2 linked regions of the Oreochromis niloticus genome follow. The protein of the gene in region 2 purifies or fractionates together with the protein of the main gene of each other region. This does not show direct contact. Links are inferred from orthologs where the notes say so. Each region holds a gene or a part of one and is shown on either strand. Other genes may lie near its edges.

Evidence for each region.
Region 1: the proteins of ankrd46b (region 2) and atrn purify together in Homo sapiens (co-immunoprecipitation; 3 studies listed by BioGRID and IntAct, with this or other methods). This does not show direct contact. The link is inferred for Oreochromis niloticus from reciprocal best matches to the Homo sapiens genes ANKRD46 and ATRN.

What each region holds. Positions count from the first base shown.
Region 1 is NC_031983.2:7,588,553-7,596,407, reverse strand, and holds the start of atrn (attractin), read right to left. Parts: upstream 3,001-7,855; 5' UTR 2,746-3,000; coding exon 2,507-2,745; intron 1-2,506. UniProt on the Homo sapiens protein: Involved in the initial immune cell clustering during inflammatory response and may regulate chemotactic activity of chemokines. May play a role in melanocortin signaling pathways that regulate energy homeostasis and hair color.
Region 2 is NC_031967.2:33,361,941-33,368,880, forward strand, and holds the start of ankrd46b (ankyrin repeat domain-containing protein 46), read left to right. Parts: upstream 1-3,922; 5' UTR 3,923-4,075; intron 4,076-6,940. Other genes in the region: col4a6 (collagen alpha-6(IV) chain), read left to right, coding at 1-22, 128-242, 388-648.

The DNA.
Region 1 (7,855 bases), on a different chromosome or scaffold from region 2:
GCTGACCGCTGAACATTACACTGTAAAAGAGTGCCCTGTTCTGCTATTAGCGAAGTTCACGGTCAGACAAGCAGCACCACAACCAGTCTGGCAGCACTGTGAAGAAAAGAGAGATCTCTGTTTTTTTCCACTTATCAGCACAGTTTTAGCTATGGTCACTTACATGCCAGGATGAAGCTTTTAAAAGAAGCTGGAAAAGACAAACGTAGCAGCCTTAGAAAAAAACAGATTAACTTTAATGAGCCCCATAGGGAGGTTCATCCTAGCAGTTGACCCCTTGGGTTGTATTAAAGCAGTCCTGAAAAAGAAGCCAAAGCTTTGGTATTTTGATCAAGGGCGACTGAAAGAGTATGTCTTATACTTTTAATGCATGCCAGTCAACCACCACCCTACATTAAAACAGCGCGGTGTACAAATAAAGATCTACATAAAAGCCAACCATTGGGTTTGTCAGCTGTTTAGGACAAAATAAGCAAATTCCATTGACTTTAGCCTCTTCTCTATTACACATTACTAACTAATGAGAAAAAAAATCATTAATATTAATAAACAGAGTTTAACTCCATTCAAACCCAGCGTTCTTAGAGCCGGGTACCCAGAATGCAGCTGGTGGTCAGCGATGATTTCCCACACTGATAGACTGTCGAGGCTGATACTCAAGTGCAACAGAATCACAGTTTTTATTCACAGCCAAGATGAGCCATTTCACCCAGAGACCACTTAAGCCCAGTGTACTGAAACATTAGAAGCTCAGCAGCCATTCAGCCTCCATTTCACCTGCTCAGATGTGCTCACCAATCGGCTGCACTAATGTGGAAATTGTTCCAGTTTCCCTTCCCTTCATCATGACCGACTTCTGAGCACGCATAACACAGCAGGCCTCCCGCTGGCTCTGCTTTATGACCTGACAAGACTGATCACAAGCAGAGGCAGCATGACACAGTATTAAATAAAAGTGAGTAGAAAATGCTCTGGACTCCCTTTACGAAAAAAGAGAAGAAAATCAGCTGCCTACAGGGTGGACCCGGCTCACACGTTCTTAGCTGCACAGACACGCCAGCACATCAGAACATGATCGCCTTGCTTAACAGCGAAAATAAAGAAAGCAGAAGTGTAAAATTAGTTCAAGAGGTCACATTTGAGCTCTGCCAAGGAAAAAATAATTTGGGGATAATAATTTGTTTTTCTTATTCTGTGCTTGCTAAATGTCATAGTTGAAGGATGAGCAGAAGGGCGTGATCCTATGGAAAGTGATCAATAATATAGTCGTGACTGATTCCGAGTGAAGCTGTCATCAAGCTCATGCTGCAGGATAATTTCCAGATCAGAGGACAAACTCCAGTAATGCAAAGTGACAGTAAAATGGGAACGGAGGACGGGCAAAGCGGTAATAATTACCAGTTTACAACTTTCGCAAATTTACAGCTTTGGCATTCACTCACTCGCACACAAACTAGTGGCACTCATGGTTTAAATCAGAGTTAAAGAAAGCCAACACGGATGTGGGCAGATATGAGGGGGGGAGTGGGGGGCGAGCGAGAGATGATGCGTTAATGGGTTTGTCAAGTGGTACCTTCCTCCCACCTCTCAGATGTTTGCATGAGTTTCGCCAACAGCACTAACCTGGGCAGCTCAGCTGTAAAAACACAAAGTGCTTTCAGTGTGCACCCACCCTCTATACTTTGACCCTGAGCTGCTGCTGTCCTGGCATCAGCGCACAATATCAGTTATCTGAACGTTTCAGTGGGCCAAACACCATGCAGGCAGCTTTTCAAAGAGTCCCGTGAAGCTGAAGAATGCAAAGCGTCTCACCTACTGGCCTGAAAACGTGGGACACTACCAACAGAACAGCAGACTAGTTCAGTTAGAGATAAATTACTCTGTTAGATTGGAAAAAAAATAGAGGCTAGCAGAGAGTGCACTGTGGTTACAAGTCAAAATGGTTTTGGTGGGCAGATAATACATAAAAATAGATGACACGTTTGTCTGTGCTGTCAGATTTTCTACATGCAGCCCGGCTACTCCTCATGGTTCTGTCCTTTCTGGTAGGTGATCTTAGCCCAGAAATGGTGTGTACGAAAACAGGCTGATGATGTGACTTTGGTTTGGCCAGAATACTCCCGATCTGCGTGAATGAGTGGCAAGATGTGACACTAATTCGGATTAAAAAGCTCTGAAGCTCAATGTTGGTCAAATGTTAAATACCACATTCACACAGGCATAGCCGTCCAACCCACACACTTGAACCATTCAGCAAACACATGCTGCATTTAAACCAGGAGGACTGTGGCCTTTGGGGGGAACCGCTTCGCTTGTAGCTGGGGCAGAGGCAGTAGCAGACCGGTACTTGAACGCCTCGAGTGTGGGCTGCTCGCCATCTCCAGACAAGGACTGTCAGGTCTGAATTAGCAAACATTTGGCGCAAAACAAGGCAGACGTAGACTCCACATTCAGCTTATGTCACTGCTAACAGTAGGCTATAATCTGCCAGTGTGTTTTACTATACCTGAATCGCCCTCCGCAGTGCTGGCATTGGTCCCCAACCCAGCCGGGAAAACATACACATTCGCCAGTGGCGGTGTTACACTGGCCGTTCATACACGGCTTATCGCACTCCTTGGCCTCGGTGAAGCCAGGCAAGCCGGACAGCAGCCCGATAACCGAGAGAAGGAGCGCGGTGGTCAGCATCAGCAAGCTCCGGTCCCGACCAGAGCCCGAGCAGGCCCGCCGCGTCGCCCCGTACATTCTCTCACAAAAGATGGCTGCTAGATGCAGGCGCTCCGCTGACTTCGGAGATAGCGAGCCGACGAGCTACCTGTTGATGTAGTTCCGTTTATTGGACCAGAGGTACGGTTTCCCTGGAGGGAAGGTTTAGTGTCTTCGCTGAACCTGGTTTTCGCCGGTTACTTGGTTTACATCTTTCCAGTGGTTGTGTTTCCCAGCGCCGCACCAAGCCGCATATTTACATCCAGAAGTGACGTCACGACAACGGAAATGCGCAACGGAAGGAGGCAGAGCGCGCAGGGCTTTAAACTTTTATGTTGGAAGACAGGAAAAGTCCTCTCGTTTTCCCAAACAGCTCTTTAGCGGCTTTCTCTTATTATTATTTTTCTCTAAAATAAACACCGTCGTCCGTTTGCTGCTCGTGTTCTAAGCGTAGCTCGATGTTTATTTTAATATTTTTAATACAAAATAATAATATTATAAGAAATATGACCTTTCCTTATAATGTTTCGCTCCCACTACAGCTCATATTTCACTTAAAATCTCAGTATTTACGATTTAAAAGCTTATACTCCTGAGAACAGCAGCTGTTGACATTAAATTCATCTCCTGGGTTTATTTATTTATTCATTTATTTATTTTTAAATCAGATAATTGTGTACCAGATAAGCCTTCACAATATTGCTTCTTAAATTTTATGATTTTATGGACATATTCTAAGCTTAAGTTAAGCTAAATACCCTATTTGGCAATAGCTTAAAACTTTATAGTCATGCGTCATTGAATACGAGGAAAAATGTATAGCACTATGACTGTTATAGTACTATAACTACACTTTCCATGATGCTTTGCACACACAACAGGACAACGTTTTTAGTTATAACTTGTGAAATTAAGACTCGTGAGAACTGTTAACCTTGAATTCTAATCCGAGATGTAGAATCTCACAAATCATCTTACATGCTGTGGCAGAGAGAGGACGCTGATGCAAGACACTGAAGGCAGAATCCTAAACCACAAGTGAGCCTCTGTATATCTGATAAATGGTCCCAAACAAAATGCAAAAGTTTCACTTGGATTTATAATCTAAAGAACAAGAAGTCCAAAAGAAATTTAAAGACCAGATGGGGCGAATGCCTCCTGCAAGCTCTGCTTTATGATCTGGACACACCATAATACTTCCACCACCGTGCTTCACTGTGAAGACTGTCTTCTTAGAGCGATAAGCCTCTCCATTCATTTTCCGTGTCCAAACAGCTGTATACTTTTCATCTCTCATAATCTTTCTCCTGGCTGTCCTTCATGTTCTTCTGTCTATAACCTCATAGTCCATTCCTGTGCAGAGTTTTAGCGATTGTGTTCTTTGAGACTACAGTTCCCATCATTCACTCATGTCTTAGCAGATGTTATGGGGTTATTTGACATTTTTTTCTGACTAGTTTCCAGAGTCTTTGAAATTTTCTTCTCCCTGCCTCTGCCAGGCTTGTTCTGTAATGTGTGGCTCTCTTTGAGTTTCTTGTTGATACTTCTCCCTCCGGTTCTTTACACTTGGAAACCTTGTGATAACTTTGTATGTCCATCCCCTGCTTTCTGAGCATCAACAATTCTCTTTCTGAGACTAACCTGATTTGTTTTTGGCACCATACTTTCTCAGTGACAGCTAAAAAGCCTTGCTGAAGTTTTTATTGGGAGATAACCTTCAGTTTTAACTTGATTTTACAAGCGTTGAGGATTACAAAGTTAAAGCACATTGTTATCCTTATCTGTAGGTGGCTGATTACATCAAGTTACGCCAAAAAAAGGGCCTTCCCTTTATACACAATTTGATATAAGGGTTATCTTCAAGGTGTTCGTCCTGTATCAAAACTAGTTTCTAACACTGTATTATATGGAATGACCTGGTAAATTTTGTTTGTGTTTTTAATCCTGTCCTATCTAGCAGCTTTTGCAATTAAGATTTAAGATTTATGATCTGAATGCACTGTTGTGCCAAACATCAAGCTCATGCCAAGATCAGCTGTATAAAGCTCTATAGGCTCCTCTTGTTCATATATTTCTTTTATCTGTTTATTCATTCATTTCTATTTGTGTTATTTCAGTTATTACGTTATGTGGTATACTATGACGATGTCTAAGGAAGGACAGGCAGAAGAGAAAAAAGATGGGGGGGAGAAAATAGGGGGAAATATAACCAAAGGATAGAGTACAAATAGAAATGCACAATGTTTCCCAACTGCTGGACCTCTAAGAAAAAACAAAGATGAAGCACCTGGAACACATAAATATGAAAAAGCACTGATACATATATCCACATATATTTAAAACCACTCAAGGTCACTTTATATCTCAATTGTAAATTGTACATTTTTAGACTGTTAAACTACCAGTTTTATCGGGTTTATGTACTCCCCTTACCTCAGTCTCAAAGCGTATATTTATTCTTACTCTTCATGTATTTATTGTTGTTCTTTTGCACTGAATGGAACTGGACACTTTGACTTTGACAAATTCCTTTTGGTGTGTGTGCCTATGTTTTTATCATGAATGTACTTGATAATGAGGTTGGGAAGCCACAATAACGCCCTCCAGGAGTCAGAGGCAGACTGAGCTGGATCCAGGAGGCCATCCGCAACCCCCAAGTTTACTGAAGACCAGAGGCCACACATCTTGGTGATGTTTAAATTTTGAGAACATGTGTAGCGCCACCTTATGCCATAGAGAACGTTACGTCACTGCGATGGTTCGTTGGTTGCGGCTCATAGACTTACATTAGTTTATTTTAGCTAACTAGTGAGAGAATCATTAACTGAGGGGATCACTTTTGTGCTACCCGTCTGTAACAATGAGTTTTACACTAAGAAACAGAGGATATACTGTCTACTTTCACCATCTCTTTAGCAGTAATTGTCTTGTTGGCCAGCTGCACTGAAACGGGAGATTCCAGCTGTTAGCTGTTTGTAAAGCATAACAAATAAGGTGTGGAGGAGCATCATGAAAATATCTCAGGTGTCATACAGTTTTGTCTGTCTCTGCTTTTAAGGCTATATTGAATTCATCTTTATTAGATTTACAGCCTTGCTGGCGTCACTTTGATATAATACTGTCATCACTCTTATTTTGCAGTTTTGAGTCACTTTGTAAAATGTATGAAAACACATCATTAGGTGGGCTCTGTCACTTTGTAATCTCTTCTATTCCAGTGCATCATATACATGTGAGAAAATGTCGAGTAAGAGACAGCAAAATGATTTACAGGCCTGCTGCCTCAAGAAATATTCCTGTTTTTGTATGAATTTCTTAGCAGTCATCCCGACGAATGAACAGGTGATCGTTATTTTTAAAAAAACAAAAACAAACAAAAAACAAAAAACAAAACACACACACACACACACACACAAAAAAAACCCCACAACACACTGACCCAGAGACTGCAGACGAAGGACACAAAACTTTACAAACGGTATAGAACAGTTTATTAAATTTAGACTTTTAAGAAGTCATCATATTCCAACGCACTCCATCGCGTGAAGCGCATTCGTAATAACACCAACCCCAAAAGGATTGATCACGGCATCAAAAACATAAATAAAGCAAATGAACATATTTACAATTTAACATGGGAGTTGTGCACAAGAACACGCAACTACATGTCGAGGAGGAGAGATCAGACGCCGAGGAGAAGGGTCTGACTTTTCAACGGAACCATCCGGACGGCTGGAGTGGAAGGAGGAGAAACACGATTTAACAAAGCGTGAGAGAAGACCTACAGTGTAATCACATTTTCTTGGATTGACAGAAAAGAGGGAAATGCGTGGAACCTCTGACAATACGCTATAATGCTGTTTTCAGTATTAATGGTATAAGGTTGACAAGCCATCTCCTGCTGTAGGTGATTACAGTCCCCGTCCTTGTTCATGAATATTCACAGTTCACTCTGAAATTAAAACAGGGGACGAAACGTTTTCTCCGGGAGAAGAATTTGCCCTGAATCAAATGTCTGAATCAGATATGAAACATTTAGTCTACAAAAGGTGTGAAGAAAGAACACCTTCTTTATACAGTCCTTAAAGCAATTTCCACCTCTGTCATGGTGGGTTTACGGTTTGTTTTAATCATCGTAGAGAGAATTGGGTTTGGACATGAATGGCTCATCTTCAGTGAGCTGAGTGGATGGATAAGCAAACATCACTATGACTTCCTGTTAACAGTCAGGATTTTACAGTAATCAAAAACCCTGAAGATAATCAAAAAACTGTGCTTTAAAAAAAAGGAAAAGACAAGAGCCTTAAAAAAGTACAATCATTGAAAGCATGTTACAATTAGTGAGTGTGTGTAGTTACAAATGGGTCATGTGATTCAGCACATCTAATGCACATAAAAAAAATGTGGATCACATAACCAACATCAGGTCCAGGTCCCCCAGTACACAGTGTAGAGGGGTATCGACAGTATCGACTTATTAGCTAAATGCTATTTTCCTGCATCACAGGAGGGCTGCAGACCTCAGTATTTGTGTTTTTGTGCTTCACTGGGAACACCAGCTGGATGGGGTCGGAGCACAGTAGCACAATTCCAAAAACGTGAGGCGAGTTATCCGGCGAAGAAAAGTACACTTAGCTGACTTTCAAATGGCACTCTGGTTCATGCAGATTCTCCTCCGGTGCTCAAAGCACGGCAAACCCCTTCCACTTGGGTCCCCTAACGTGTGAAAACAAACACTGAGAATAATTTCAAAGAGGCAACCACCATCATCTCGTCTCTGGAGGTCACGCAGTAACATTCAGCTATCCGTTAATGGCAGAGATCGTCTCCTCTTTGTTTCCTCTCTCACAGTATATCACACTATCTTACAGTTGCTTAATGAAAAAGCCATTTACAAGCAACAATATGTACAAGATTGGTCTTCAGAATTACAAAGAAAAGCATATAAACAGGGTTTTCTCTTCAGTTCTGTACAGAGAGCAAAGAGGAGGTGTTAGAAAATGATTGAGCACCTCAGAGTCATTGTGTAGAATTTACACACACAAAAAAAAACTTTGTCCAATCACTGGCTTTAAGATAAACTCACATTCATCCCTTCATTTTCCTAACAGGTACATGCAAAAGGACAAGAGCCACAGGCTCAGCATTC
Region 2 (6,940 bases):
AGATAAGACCTTACATCAGCAGGTATTGTACACTGTGTTACTTTAGTCAAGCTGCCTATCATTTGTATAGTTGTATACATGTGCATACAACTAATGAAGCTTTCATCTGATTATATGAATAACACAGGTGTTCAGTATGTGAGGCTCCATCTCAGGCAGTGGCAGTCCACAGTCAGGATTTGACAATCCCCAGCTGTCCTCCCGGCTGGAGGAGTCTCTGGATAGGATACTCCTTCCTAATGGTACGTAGTTAATGGCAGCTTCTACCAAACAGATTTAGACCAGCAATTAGATGAAGAGATTATTTCTCCCCATGGTTCTATATACTGCCAAATTGTCTTCAGAGATGTCATATTTTAAAAAAATGTCCTTTCATTTCTGACACAGCACACAGCAGCTGGCGCTGAGGGCGGCGGTCAGTCCTTGGTGTCTCCCGGCTCCTGTCTGGAGGACTTCCGGGCGACTCCGTTCATCGAGTGCAACGGCGCTAGGGGCACCTGCCACTACTTTGCCAATAAATACAGCTTCTGGCTGACAACCGTGGATCCCAATAATGAGTTTACCTTCTCGCCAGACAAGGAGACGCTGAAGGGAGGCCAGGAGCGCTTCAGAGTCAGCCGCTGCCAAGTGTGCAGCAAGATCTTGTAGTAGGCAAAGGTGAAAGATGGAGGAGTGAGGCGGGGAAACATCAGGAGGGGATTCACTAACATTTCAAGAATTTATGATGGAGGATGAGATGGATTTAAAAAAGAACACGTGACTGACTGAATGGACCTTTCTCCTGTGCTGTGATGGTTTCAGAATCGAGTCGAGCAACATCGACCCCATTTTGAGAGTTTTTTTAATCCCCTGTAGGAATGAATGGCTTATAAAATAAAAGAAGAAGAAGCTGGAGAGAGGAGGAGGAAAGAGAAGAGTTCCAGTGTGAGCGATCTTCTCGAGATTATCACTGATAATGGTGCTATTGTTTATGTATGTGTTTATTACGTGTCAGCTTTCTTGTGACAGATGTCAGCGAGAATCATTCTGGGCTACCTCGGAGAGCGCCCCCGCCCCCATTTAGCAAACCAGTGCCCCGCACACACACATTAAGCACCCAATTTAAACGTTATCAGCTCAGGAAGTTGGCCGTTATTGGTTCTTATCGCTCCCATAGATACTGACAGCAGGCAGGAAGTCTCTTACACCAGCTCTGTTAATGCTGACTAGTGGAAAGCCATGGAGACGGGCTGATTTTCCGTGAACTCATTATTGCTGTTCAGTTAGTTTTAAGGCATAGACAAGCATAAAGTATTTGTAATCTATGAGAAAGCTCAATTTTGAGGGCTACCTGAGATTTTACTACAATGTTATTCATATCTACATAAGCTCAAACTGGGTAAAGCCCTTTCTGCACAACTACTGGGTACAGAGAGACGTCTGACTGTCATATCTATGGGACAGACAAGCCTACAAATGCTTTTCAGTGGGCTGATCACGTTTGAACTGCAGAGCTTGATGTGAGTTGAGAGTAAAATTACAGATTGCTGGTTGATTTTAAGGTTTTAAAGCGAGTTTGCATCATCTTATTGGGCTGATCTGAGCAAAGCAGATGTAAAGCTTCCTTGAAATCCCATCTTTGGGAAGATGACACCTGTTTTCTTCTTGAACTTTTTATTCTACGGCAGTTTAGCACCACGAAGGTGCCCACTGTAAACACACTGGGGATTTTTTCATGTGTTGCATCAGTACCTGCAGTATATTTGATGTTGGTCACTTCGTTATTGGTTTGAAAATCGACTTGCCAAGACATGTGACTTGCTTGAGGTAAAAATGGTGTTGAAGCTATACTTTGTTTTTAAGTTTTTGTGATATTTGGATTATTTTTCGGTGCCTTACAATCGGACGCGTGAATCAAAGGAGTTTTAGCTTCATCCAATGATTAAAAAAACTGTGGAAAACTATAACTCATTAGCAAATTATTTGTTGTATAAACAAAAAAAGACCAGAAGTATTTTGTTTATTGGACTCCAACAGAAACTATGATAAACAAGCAAGTTTCATTTCTTTAAGTGCTGGTTTTCATCTAGAAGGTGAAAAGCATCATCTGTTTTGGGGAACAGAAGGAACTTAGAAACAATCCAAAGTATTCCTAAACATGTCAAAGTCCCAGCGTAAGCTTCACGTAAGCCTGTGTACATTTCACAGTGGGACTCTCAGGTTGCTGCTACGTTACCGTTAGTATGACTTTAAAGGTCAAGTCAGATTTTTTTGTGCAACAGCTGAAATGACAATAGAGAGCTGTTGTTATTGCACTGATGTGGACACAGATGGTTCAGAACATCAGAGGGGCATTTAAATCTCCACCTCCACTCTCACAGGTTTTCTCTATGCTGCGACCAAACAAGTATTTCTTTTGATTACATCACACTTTTTAAGGCTGCCATTCGCTTACATTTTGCAAAAAGAAACAAAACACACGCTCTCTGATAGATGAGTTATTGCTGTACATAGTGCTTACTGTATTTTTCAGCAAATCATGTTAGCGCAAAGGTGTATGATGTTGTTACTCAGTTATTTTCTTTTCTTTTGTTTTGTGTCCTCGGACAGGTAAGAAGATGGCAAAAATTCTGTGCCTTTAAATATAGATTTTGCAAAAACAAATACAGAAACACACAAAAAATGAGAAAATGTATCATGTTTTTGCATTAAATTTGGTCTTCCTCTGAGTCAAACAGGTTCATCTGTGCTTGGACAGAGGAAGCGACAGCATGACTTGTAACCACTACGACCTCTAGCACGTCTCTCTCTGCTGGTAGCCCTGACTTTAACACTCTGCCACATAGTACATTTTTGTCTGTATTGCTTTTTTGTAATCTAGATTTGTAATTACTGAGTCATGACACTATCCCCTGGTTTTATTTACTGAGATGTGAGGGAATGGGAAGCTAATGATGTGTACATTAAATTTTATGGAAAGGAAAACATGCCTGTGTTTTTATATGGGAGATATATTCACCGCTGATAATTTAGGATGTTAACAGCACATTTTATTGCCAGTTTGGACTTCACCACATGTTCAGAGCCAAATGAAGAAACACGCTTTAAGAGCCCTGAGTGACAGAAAAGAAATGCAGTTTTCCTCAAAGAGGATCCATAACAAATCAAAAGTGGCAACGCAACATGTCTGTTCCTATAACGTGTTCCTATTCTGTGCTCACACACTTTGAAATAAAGTCTCAAAACTACTTAACAAATGCATGTTTTGTTTGTTTGTTTTTAGCTCAACATGAGGAACTGAAGTGAATTTATATATAAAATCTGTATTTTTTTTTAGGTGGCTGTTGTGTTTGTGACTAGTTGTAATGTTTGGAGTCAGACTTCTGGGTCGCAAAACCAAATGTTGCTGCCAGTGGTACTGGTTCATTTCACAAAGTGGATGTAATAGAGCAATAGAAGATACAGTAAGGCGGTTGAAACATGAGCACATTTGGGTGTTCTGATAGGACAATGACTCCAAACACATATCAAAACTGTTTTTAGAATAGATAAAGCAGGCTGACCTTTACAGAAGGGATAGGCCTTCCCAATGCCTCCATGGTCCAACTCAGAAAACCAACAAGCTTTAATTAACTCTGCCATGCTGCCAAGAACAGTGGGAAATCCAGCTGGAAGTATACGGTTGTTTATGGCTACCAAAAGCATCTTACCAAAGGACATTAACCCAAAGCTTAGTGGAGGAATATACTTTTGACCATGTGTGGACTAGAGAAAATCTTGTGCATCTGAATTCCTTTTGTTGCAGTGGAGATAGATCACAAATTCTGTTTCTGCCTCTTAGTTTTTATTCACGTTAATAATTTTTATATGTTTCTATTTAAAAATGGAATAATACAACTCAGATAGATAGATAGATAGACAGATAGATAGATAGTACCTTAGCTCCAGCCCAGTAGGTGGCGGTAATTCACCTTATCGACAGAAGAAGAGGAAGAAGAAGAGGAACTCTTTTTAGCATAACAACAACATTTTTAGCAGCATTAGCTCGCAAAAAAGCGAGGAGACTTTTTTCTTCTTATTTGGGTCCTATTAACAGGTAGGTGTATTAACAGAGGGCCGTCAGAGAGTGTGAATGTGCAGTCTGTTACCCTGTGTGCTTGTACGGTCGGCGAATCGCATATTTGTGAGCCGTTTCAGCTATGTGCAGAACGTTAGCTCTCAGGCTAACGCTAGCTCCTAACGTTTTATTTTGTGGTTGTGTGCAAAAGTCACTGCATGCAAAGAGTTGTCGAACAGGATGAAGATTAAGGTGTGATGATGAGGATGCAGTGCTGTTGGATTTTTCCTCTTTGGTGAAATAGTTAGTCGACAGCCTGCTACAGTTTTGATCTTAGCTTTTTTTTTTCTCCAGAAAACAATGACTCTACACATTCATGAAAGCTGATTTCTCGAGAGTTTTTTTGTATTCTGCTCGTTGCATCCTGTTAATGACAACATATACTCGGATACAGGCGTCATTGATACTTGTGGTAACGAGCGGTGTGCACGGATGGGTCCAAATACTCAGAAGATTAGACATCGAGATGTGTGTCGGGTTTCTTTACTAAAACCCATATTGAAATCCACAATTGGTTTGGCATTTCTTGAACCCCAGAAGCCTAGAAATACATGCGAGATGTACCAAGGTTACATCAGTTGTTGTTTTTTTGTTTTTTTTTTTAAGATCTGAGGAGGTTCATTATATACAGACTTGTCTCGTTATTAAGGGTTCAACCTTCAAATGGATGGTGACCTCCACAGTCAACAGTGGGATCTGTTGACTGTGTTGACCCATACCCACGTTCTACAAGCATCTTTGGGATGTGGTGGAGCGACAGATTCTCATTATGAATGTGCAGCCGACAAATCTGGACTGACACTCAAAGCCATTATACAACATGCCTCATTCATACAAGCACTTGCTCTATCCTTTGAAATGCTTTCTATCTAACATTCGCACACATTCATACTCAAATAATAATAATGGATTGCATTTATATAGTGCTTTTCGAGACCCTCAAAGCGCTTTAGAATTCCACTATTCATTCACACACACTGGTGGAGTCAAGCTACAGTTGTACCCACAGCTGCCCTGGGGCAGGCTGACAGAAGCGAGGCTTCCATATCGCGCCATCGGCCCCTCTGGCCAACACCAGTAGGCGGTAGGGTAAAGTGTCTTGCCCAAGGACACAACGACCAGGACAGAGAGAGCTGGGGGATCGAACCGGTAACCTTCCGGTTACAGATGAGCTTCCCAACCCCCTGAACCACGGTTGCCCCAAATGGATGCATTGGAGAACAGCTTGGTATCTTGCCCAAGGATACACGCAGACTGGCCAACCTTCCAGTCAGTAGATGATCTAGTCTACCGCCTGAGCAACAGCCACCCCATACAGTGTGATGGGGTTACGGGTGCTGATCATGCAAATGTGGACCAGAATGGTTCCAGCAGCTTGTTAAATCTGTGCCACGAAGAAGAAAATATTTTTTTGTGTGTGTTTTTCTATTCTTTAAGTGACTGTTGTGATTGAGGTCGAGCCCGTTGTCCAAACAATTGCGTTTTGACCTGGGCTAAAAGTCGATGTATGAATCAACTGTTATTACTGTTGACAGAGGCCAAGTGGAGATAATCTTGCACAAGAGCACAAAGGAATTTGTGCTTTGATGGCAGAGTGATAAAGTCACAGCTGTGCAGTCACAGCACACATCAGGTATAAATAAACAGTGCTGAACAGAGTGCAATCAGTGACTACAGGTGTGTGAGTGAGAGGTTGAAATAGTGTGTGTGAGGTCACTATACAGGCAGAGTAGAGCCAGTGTGACTCATTCAGGAGGTTGGATTTAAAAAAAAGAAAAGCGAACACCCACAGTTGTGTGGACCATCATTTGATCTGTGAATACCTGGTTAAAGCATGTGCTCGTCTGTAGCTGTAATGCTTAAAAATATAAGAAAGATCAATTAAAAAGTTGGAACTGAACAGCAACAAGATCCACCTTTTGATTTCTCACAGATTTTTACACTGGCTGCTATCAGAGCTACTTTAACTCTACTTAACATAGCAAGGTGTTAAAAATGTTCAGCTGGTGAGCCGGTGTGAGTTGTAGCCTCAGGAGTTGCATCCAATGTGGTCTTCTGCTGCTGTAGCCCATCTGCTTCAAAGGTTGATGCTCTTTTGTCTGCCTGTCCAGAATTAGTCAACTCTGCTCATTTAAAAAGAAAAAAAGAAGCTAGTCCACTCCATGTTTTGGGAATAACTTGTTTATTTCAGCCTAGTTCATTGGACGGAAAATACTCTACTTCGGGTTTTCAATTAATCCATGAAGGGTAAACAAACAAAGAAGTCAGAAGTTTGACAACAGCAACAAAGCAAAGCCAAGTCAACTAGATCATCTAGGTAGTGTGCTTATGGTGCTGGAGCAGTGTTGATCGATTCATGGTCATACCTGCGACTTGACTGTGTGCTGATCGATCTGACACAAGATTCACTACACGTGGAATTACTATGACCCGAGGTCCCAAAATCGCCTAAGGTTGGCAGAAATACAGATCTAAAGGACAACTTCATGCTGCTACTTTTTCCAGCCCCCCAGAAAACACACAGTGCCTGGTAGACCCCATGAGAAAGGCTTTAATCGGCACTCGTACGGCACCAAATCAGAATGATCTTACTGGCTGACTGCCTGTGGGGCCTGGAGGTCCGTACAAATGAAAAAACACAGAATTTATTTACAAAAAACACATTTAAAATAACAAATCTGGCACTCGCAGCAAGGTGTACCTAATAAAGTGGCCAGTTAGTGTAAATAAAGCTGTTACACACAGACTCTGAGTTGAAAGTTAAATAAGTGCCCCATAAATTCTGCTAGTGTTATACTCCTTGACTTCAATATATCTTAATTTATTTGAATAATTTTCTTTAAA